Linked DNA regions of Ovis aries. The protein of the gene in region 1 interacts with the protein of each later gene in a pairwise test. Links are inferred from orthologs where the notes say so. Each region holds a gene or a part of one and is shown in the gene's direction. Other genes may lie near its edges. The genes, in order: OPRM1 and GJA4.

Region 1 (4,489 bases):
CTAAGGTTTGCAAAATGATCTGGGTTTAAGGCAAGGACTTTTTATACTGTGCTAATTTGTCTTTCACATAAGTAAGTTTAGAGTGGTTCTGTGTGTCCTCAAGAGACTGAATAATGGCAGACAGATTTCAGCTGAATATGGGTGAATTAATACATTAGTTCATAGGAGAATAGGTGGTGAAGCATTTTTATTATTCTGTAGGAGATCTTTATAACATGTTATTGCTGAAATTTTATCCTTCAACATAAAAAAAGATAAAAATACTGAACATTGGCAAAATTATCTATGATTAGTGGAGTTTACCAGTATTATGTTTTCCAGACAAGTGATAAAAATAATATTGGAATTAAATCTTCTTTCCAAGCTCTCTACCTCACCTTGATCCCTGTTCACCAAGGATATAGCTTTCTACAAACAACTGGGGATCTTTAATGATAGTGTTAGTAGTTAAAAGATACATATGCAGACAAATATACCCATAAATAGAAATGAGAATTACTTCAGAATTTGTGTTAACATTACCAAAAAACAAAGACAAACAAAGCAAAATTTATTAATAAAGTAGAAGCATTTGTGGATTTAAAAGTGAATTATCAAATTTTAAAGCATAACAATAATCCTTAACCTTGTATGAGCCATTCCAGTTCCAGATGTCTATGTAGTTTTTCCTGGAATGTCTACACTAGAATACACTGAAATAATGTAAACACTTGGTTTTCACAGTCTTCTACTGAGAAGCATATGTAGGAAGGCTGGAGATAAAACCAATAATTAATAACTCCAAACCTATGAGATTTATATATGGAATGTCACCCTTGTCTTTCTTTGGCTTTTCAGGATGCCACAACTCCCTGTGCCTCTTTGTCAGCAAGCTAGAAATTAGATGCAAATAAAACTTCTGCTCCAGGAGAAAAAAGGGAATATGAAGTAAAGGGAATAGATATCCTCTCTCAAAGTTTGTTTTTCATCTCTTTTCAGAAAAGGAATCACTCTTGTCTCAGGCAGGGTTGAAGGGTTGGAAATTCTCCATTAGTAAAGAGACACATGGTGACTTTTTCTACAGACAGAAAAAGTCTGAGGCAAGGAGGGCTACAGAAGAGGATTCTGTGTACCCTGCACCAAATCATTGCTTAGGCAGCAGAGACAGAAGAGCTCTGGGGTCTGGGATGTCAGGATGGCGTCAGACCAGTGTCTTTTCTGTCATGGTACACTGAGAAAACGGTGCTGGAAAATGTGAGGTCAGCCCCCTTCCTTAATGCTTTGCATCCGCCAAAAACTCTCCGTTTGTCTCACTCTCAACCCCTTCCCTCCAACCCCCTTTCTGGTTCTGCCTGTCCTTAGAGGTGTTTGCACAGAGGAGTGCTGAGTGGGGAAACAGAGTCGTTGGATCGCTTTGCGCAAAATCCCCTTCTCTCTCCTCCCTCGGCTCCAGCCTCCGGATCCCGCACAGCTCTCCCCTCCTTCCCCACCGGCGGTGTGGGGCTGGAGCCCTGTCTGTGTACTTCTAAGGTGGGAGGGGGCTACAAGCAGAGAATAATGTCAGATGCTTAGCTCTCTCCTGCCTGACGCTCCTCTCTGGCTCCGCCGGGGTTGGTCGCTGTAAGAAATAACAGGAGCTGTGGCAGCGGCGAGACGAAGCGGCTCACGCGTGGAACCCGAAAAGTCAGGGTGCTCGCGGTTACTCCCAACGTGGTCCCAGCCGGCGGTCAGCACCATGGACAGCGGCGCCGTCCCCACGAACGCCAGCAACTGCACTGACCCCTTCACACACCCTTCAAGTTGCTCCCCAGCACCTAGTCCCAGCTCCTGGGTCAACTTCTCCCACTTAGAAGGCAACCTGTCCGACCCATGCGGTCCGAACCGCACCGAGCTGGGCGGGAGCGACAGCCTGTGCCCTTCGGCCGGCAGCCCTTCCATGATCACGGCCATCATCATCATGGCCCTCTACTCCATCGTGTGCGTGGTGGGGCTCTTCGGAAACTTCCTGGTCATGTATGTGATTGTCAGGTAAGGAAGGCCACAGGGCTCCGGATTTCGGTGGCTAATAGAGGCATAAAGGGTGTTGGGGGTGGGGGGAGGATGAGAAAAAAGGAGGTAAAACAAGGGAGAATGTAGAGGTGAAATTAGACAGAGTGGTTGCAGCTTGAGTACAAAAACTTACTTTTCTATTCTTCCTTCCGTTAATAAAGACAGAATCCAAAATTTCAGAAACAGAGAAGTTGCTTTAGTAAAAGCTATAAAGCTCTGGTAAAAAAAAAAAAAAAAAAAAAAGCCTCTATCTTACAGCTTGTTTATACTGAGCCAGAAGGGCTCTGGGCTCTTAACCACAGTGTCCCATAGCCCCTTCCAAAGGAGCTGTGGAAACAATAATTTGTGGAAAATAGAAGATAAATTCTAGTTATTTTATCCTTAATTGGAGGCAGAAGGGGCAGATTTCCTTCTCTATTCTTTTCAGAGATGAACCTTGGCAACTTTCCTGCTCCTGCTGATTCCAGTGTATTTGCTGCACCATTGCTGTGCCCTGCTCTTCCTCACTCCTAGAGGAAGTTTTTCTGGTGTCTTGCCACAGTAAATGGTGCTGTTTGTGTTGCCGAGACCAGTTTGCAGTTGGCAGCTACAGATCTGCTAGGGGAGTCAAACTGAATCAGGAATAGGTCAGGTGGTTCGGAACTGCAGCACTGTTTTTCAGTGCCCCCAAAAGTTGAAACAAGTCAGAAGTGACCAAAAACAACATAATTCTGGATGATAAACTATTGCATAGGAAGTTGTAATGGTTGCTCTAGAGAAATTAAAAAGTGTCTTCATCCAGTGAAATTATTTCAGAAGAGTTTGTGGCCCAGTTTCTATTTGTCCAGATGTTCCAGGTTTATTTGGCAGAAAATATACAAGTTCAATATTAGCTGAGATTGATGTAGATTGTGTTGGTGTTGATGTGCCTATTCAAATCCTACATGTTAATATGGAATACTATGTTTTAACTTTTGAGAAGTATATGATTATTTTAACACTTTAACACGGCTCTTGATTTAGGGTTTTCTTCCTACTATGGCACTTCCATGTTTAGCTGCAATATTGGCTTCATCTATTCAGCAAGTATTGTAGGTTTCACTGGAGCTCTTAAATCATCTAACAGTCGTTTTCTCCGTTATGCTTTCTTTATTGAGGTGGTGCAAGTTGTTTGTAATCGATTTTTTCTGCTTTTTATGTCTGATTTCTTTAATTAATGATTGTTAAAGAGTAAAACTAATTTTCTTGATCTTTTGATGAAGAATCATATAAGCAGTTTCTCTGAGTAAAGAGCACCATCTATTGCAAAGAAAGCTAACAACAGAAGGAAAAATGCAGGAAGAGAATCAATGGGAAAATTTATTTTTAAAACATTTACTTTATGTAATTCAATACAAAGCTTCCTCTCAAATCTGAAAACTGTCTTAGTTTGCATTTATGATAATAAAAATAATAACTAAATCCCTGCCCATGAAGGGAAAATTTATTCTTTCTCCTAAGAAAATTCATGGACTCGTAAGCTTATAGGGCCAGAAGGAAACCTAGAGGTTTTCTAGGCTAGGTGAGTAAAATGTGGCACAGAAAATATAAATTATTTCTCCAAGGACAGATAAGTTCATTAGTTCAATACCATGGAATTGCTCTTAGCCAATGTATTTTCTGTTTTAGAGTGGCTCATGATTTGAGTTAATTCAACTACAACATTGACAGAGTAGTTTAGATAATAACTTGGAAATAATAAATTAATCCAAATTTACTTCTGTAATCCTGGAGAATGAAGGACGAAAAGAAATTATAAAACCATCTTGAAATTCTGTCATCTAAAACATAATCATTTATGCTTTTATTGTTTCTCTTGGTATTTTCCTTCCTAATTTTTCTCCTCTCTGGTTTATGCTTTTCTATAAAGCAGAGAGCCAATAGAGCAACAACTGGCTGTGGAATAAACAGATTGGTTTTATTCTTGTGCTAAAGATATTACTAGTTGGGTGATTTTGTTTTAAAGGTATTACCTCTGAACTTTTGATGACTTGGAAAAGGATGGTGACCTTGTCTCTTACTGAGAACATGATATTATGCTTTATTTTTCTGTGCTTAAAGTTCCAACCAGAATACAGTACTGTTTGAAAAGGCACCTCAAACACCCACCTGTGCAAGTCAGGTGTTTAATTCCAAGGTCAGATAATCTTCTGGGAATATGACTGTGAAACAGAAAAATAGTTCAGTGACCAATGAAGCCTCTGGGGAGTGAAGGAACTATATCTATTTAGCTGAGAATATTTAACTAGACTATCTCCACGCTATGGTTATTTCACTACAAAGTGATCATTTCACAGACATTATTGCCTCTGTTAAAAAGATGGATATAATGCTGTATCTATTCAAGTACTGAGATAAAATGCTTACTTCCTGCTATTATTCAAAATTCAACAAATACTTTTGAATTATTAAGTAGTTAGGGTTTTCTAACCAGATCAACATA
Region 2 (4,355 bases), on another chromosome or scaffold:
GCCGTACTGACTCTGTGTACTGCTGATCTGTGATTTCGTGGGTTTTGGTTTTGTTTTTTCGCAACTTTGAAGTATCCCTGACTTGTTTGACATTCTTTGTTCCAACAAGATATAAACTGTGCTGAAAAATCGTGCTTCTCCCGAGCAGTTGCACCGAGTTATCAGAGGCTGTCTCCTGGGCAAGAATAGTCAGTGTGGCTCAAATAAAACTCTTTTCTATTCCTATTATAGACTCCTGATTATTCCCATCCCCCTGGCTAATGCTGTCTCCTCCAGGAAACATTCCTAACTGAGCCCCCCCGAGTCAGGGGAACTTCGCATCTTTACTCTTCCCCAAAGGCCGATGGGCACAGTTCCTGCCTGTCTCCTCTAGCCAGTGAGAGTCACAGGCCAGGGACCACATCTGGCTGGTTTATGCTCAACTCCCCAGCTCCACAGACAACGCCTGCAGCCCATGGATGTTCACAGAGAGGATAATGCCTGAATGAACAACAGGCGGGCCCTGCCCACCTCTTCACTTCTTTTGGATGCCTCCCCCCACCCCACGTTTAGAGCCATGAGGATGAGATCCAAGCTAAAGGTCAGGAGAGTCCCCTCCCCCCAACCCCCCAACCCTCGTCCTGTCTCTAGTGGACCATGGCATTGCTTGCCCTCTGATGGTGCAGCCTTCCCAAGAATGGGGATGTTTAAGATCTCAGCAAGAACAGGGGCTGACTAGAGACCCCCAGCTTCACCACAGACACTAGAGAAGGCAGATTATAACCCTCTCTCTCCCATGCCCTAAGGAGGCTTCATTATCAAGTCCTGGTATGGCTCTGGGCACACAGTGGCCACCCCACAGGGGTGTTCTGCCTTCTCAACAAGAGCGAGAGGCCCCCACGGTCAAGGAGCTGCCCTTCCCAGGAGGCCCCATACCCTCACCCCCACCTGCCCATCTCTCAGAGCCTCCCAGGACAGCTGCCTGAGGTCAGAAAGTTCTGGCTGTAATCCTTTCGCATGCAGCCACCCTGGAAAACATCATCCCTCCGGAGACCTCTCTGTTGCACAGCCAAAGAAGCAGTCTCTCCCCCCACGCTCCTCGCCCCCGACTCCCATTGGCACCTCCCGGGCCCTTTTCTTGAGAGTGGCTTCAGGGAGCCCGCGCCTCCCGTCCCGCCCCCAACCTCCCGCTCGGAACAGCGCCCGCCGCCCGCCCGCCGCTTCCTGCCCCCACCCCGCCCCGCGCGCTATTTAAGGCGCCCCCGCCGCCCGGCGCCGTCCAGCAGGGCTCCCGCGGGCGCCGCTCCGGCCGACTTGCGTCCCCTCCGCCACCTGGGCCGCCCGCAGGCCGGCGGTGAGTTGGGCTGGGGGGCGCGCTGGGGCGCCACCTGCCAGCGGACCAGCGGGCAAGGGACAGGGGGCCACCTGCCAGGGGCGGAGGGCTGCTGCGGGGGGCACCCACCGCGGGCCTGGCTCACCCAGCCTACCTGGGCTGGCCTCAGAGGCTAAGCCGGGTTCCTGCCGTCTCTCGGTGGGCCCTCATAACCCTCGGAAGTAGGAATGTTAACATTTTCCAGGAGAGGAGACTGAGGTACTAAGGGGCCGTCACTTCTCCGAGGCCTCCGTTAGCAGGAGAGGTAGGATTTGAACCCAGGTCTGGCTCCAGAGCCCGGCTGTAAACCGCTTTGCTCCCACAAAGAAGCACCTCCCCATCCCCTTTCCCCCTCCTTCCTCCCCCCACCGGACTCTCCCCCTGAAGTTCTGGGAACTCTGTGGCCTGTGCCTCCACCCTGCTATGACAGTTCCTTTCAAGAGCCTAGAATCCGGCAGCAACAGCTTTGGCAGGGGGAGGGAGTGGAGAAAGGGGACCCGAGATCAAGAGTGGGTACTTAAGCGGCAGGTGGCCGCTATTGCTGACAGGTGGAGCTAATGCAGGATGCTGCCTTGAGTGTCTAGCATGCCTTCACCAGGAACTCAGAGGTTAGAGCAAGGCCAGATGGGCGAGAGCTGCTGGGGAGGGAGAGGGGACCTGAGGCTTTGGGCCCCCTGGGAAGCTGGAGTTACCACCACCACCTCCCCCTCACTGTCTGGGGACAGCCTGTCCTGGGCCGAAGGGAGGAGGGGCATGGCGCAGCTGTGTGACCTTGGATGGGTTCCTCAAATTCTCTGTTCCCTTAGGCTCAGGAGGCTCACCTGGATCCAGAGCTCCTTCGGCTGGGTCAGGAGGGACCCAGGTGGGACTAGGCAAGGCTCCTAGCTGTACCCTTGCCAGAGCTTAGCAGCCATCAGCCAAAGGCCTGCTTTTAGTCCTGCTGGGTGTGAGCCCCCAGGCCAGTCCCTTCCCCTCCGGGAGCTCAGTTTCCCGCAGACCTGTTGCTAGGACAGCTGAGAAGGACACTGACCGTGTCTTATGCCTCCCTGCAGACGGAGGCCCGGGAGCCATGGGCGACTGGGGCTTCCTTGAGAAGCTGCTAGACCAGGTCCAGGAGCACTCGACCGTGGTGGGCAAGATCTGGCTGACGGTCCTTTTCATCTTCCGCATTCTCATCCTGGGCCTGGCCGGCGAGTCGGTGTGGGGCGACGAGCAGTCGGATTTCGAGTGTAACACGGCCCAGCCAGGCTGCACCAATGTCTGCTACGACCAGGCCTTCCCCATCTCCCACATCCGCTACTGGGTGCTGCAGTTCCTCTTCGTCAGCACGCCCACCCTGGTCTACCTGGGCCATGTCATCTACCTGTCTCGGCGCGAGGAGCGCCTTCGGCAGAAGGAGGGGGAGCTCCGGGCGCTGCCAGCCAAGGACCCACGCGTGGAGCGGGCGCTGGCAGCCATAGAGCGCCAGATGGCCAAGATCTCGGTGGCGGAAGACGGTCACCTGCGGATCCGTGGGGCGCTGATGGGCACCTATGTGGCCAGCGTGCTCTGCAAGAGCGTGCTGGAGGCGGGCTTCCTGTATGGCCAGTGGCGTCTCTATGGCTGGACCATGGAGCCTGTGTTTGTGTGCCAGCGCTCACCCTGCCCCTACCTCGTGGACTGCTTCGTCTCTCGCCCCACGGAGAAGACTATCTTCATCATCTTCATGCTGGTGGTCGGACTCATCTCCCTGGTGCTCAACCTGCTGGAGCTGGCGTACCTGCTGTGCCGCTGCCTCAGCCGGGGGGTGAGGGCCCGGCAGCGCCAGGATGCGCCTCCAGCCCCGGGCACCTCCTCGGAGCCTTACGCCGACCAGGTCTTCTTCTACCTCCCCATGGGCGAGGGGCCCTCATCCCCGCCATGCCCCACCTACAACGGGCTGTCGTCCAGTGAGCAGAACTGGGCCAACCTGACTACAGAGGAGAGGCTGGCTTCTTCCAGAGCCCCCCTCTTCCTGGACCCACCCCCCCAGACTGGCCAGAAATCCCCCAGTCGCCCCAGTAGCTCTGCTTCCAAGAAACAGTATGTGTAAGGGCCTGAGGCTTCCATCACCCCGCAGCGGGGCCTGGGAAGTCTTGCTGCCTTTAATGCAAGGTTCCACGGAGATGGCTGGGGGAAACAGGTGCTGGCTGGCCAGACAGCCTCCTTGCATGTTGTTCTTGACACCTGCATCCTTCCTAATGACCAGAGGGCACCACACTTTCCCCTCCAGAACGTGGCTTTGTCCCAAGCATGGACAGAGCCAGCGTGGGGTGCTCTTAGCCAAGGGTGTTTGAGCCCTTTGGTCTTTTTCACCTGGTTCAGAGGGATTCGGAGACAACTTACCCCACCCCCACCCCCGCGGCAGATTCACCTCCACCCAGGCTGTCTGCACACCCTGTCCTCTCAGGAAAGGCTGGTGGAGGCTGCTGGGTCAGCCTTGATCACACACACAGAGCCTGTGCTGGATCTGGCCCTGTCAAGGGGAGTGGGGTCTTATTCTCATCACTCCTTCCTACTTCCACTGTTTATCCTTCTAAAATAAACAGGACTTGATCACAAGTGAGGTGTGTGTTGATACTGTCATGATGTACCTTTGCATGGGGGGTTGGAGGACAGTTGCTTTGCCCACGGTTCCTTGCCTCTGCAATCCCAACACCAGCCAGCGCCTTAAACCCTCAAACTCCTACGTATCACCTCTCAGCAGCTCTGAGTCCTGAACACTGCCTTCTGAAATTATTTGCCTCAGCACCAGACTCTTTCCATCCTCACTGTCCCAGCCCCTTCAACCTGTCCATTAATCAGTGGCCTAAACAGTGTCTGTCCTCATCCTGCCCCCCGGCCATCCAGCGCCCCGGCCATGCTCCCCACTGCAGTGTGCTTCCTTACTGGACACTGCTCCTCACCTGCCCTGGGCTTCCCTGGTGGCTCAGAGGGTAAAGAATCTGCCTTCAATGTGGGAGGCCCAGGTTCAGTCCCTGGGTCA

What was found.
Region 2: the proteins of OPRM1 (region 1) and GJA4 interact in binary tests that used the Homo sapiens proteins (3 or more experiments, as listed by UniProt). The link is inferred for Ovis aries from reciprocal best matches to the Homo sapiens genes OPRM1 and GJA4.

What each region holds. Positions count from the first base shown.
Region 1 is NC_056061.1:78,544,074-78,548,562, forward strand, and holds the start of OPRM1 (mu-type opioid receptor), read left to right. Parts: upstream 1-1,541; 5' UTR 1,542-1,714; coding exon 1,715-2,007; intron 2,008-4,489. UniProt on the Homo sapiens protein: Receptor for endogenous opioids such as beta-endorphin and endomorphin. Receptor for natural and synthetic opioids including morphine, heroin, DAMGO, fentanyl, etorphine, buprenorphin and methadone.
Region 2 is NC_056054.1:9,838,455-9,842,809, forward strand, and holds GJA4 (gap junction alpha-4 protein), read left to right. Parts: upstream 1-1,256; 5' UTR 1,257-1,616; intron 1,617-2,403; 5' UTR 2,404-2,420; coding exon 2,421-3,422; 3' UTR 3,423-3,931; downstream 3,932-4,355. UniProt on the Homo sapiens protein: One gap junction consists of a cluster of closely packed pairs of transmembrane channels, the connexons, through which materials of low MW diffuse from one cell to a neighboring cell.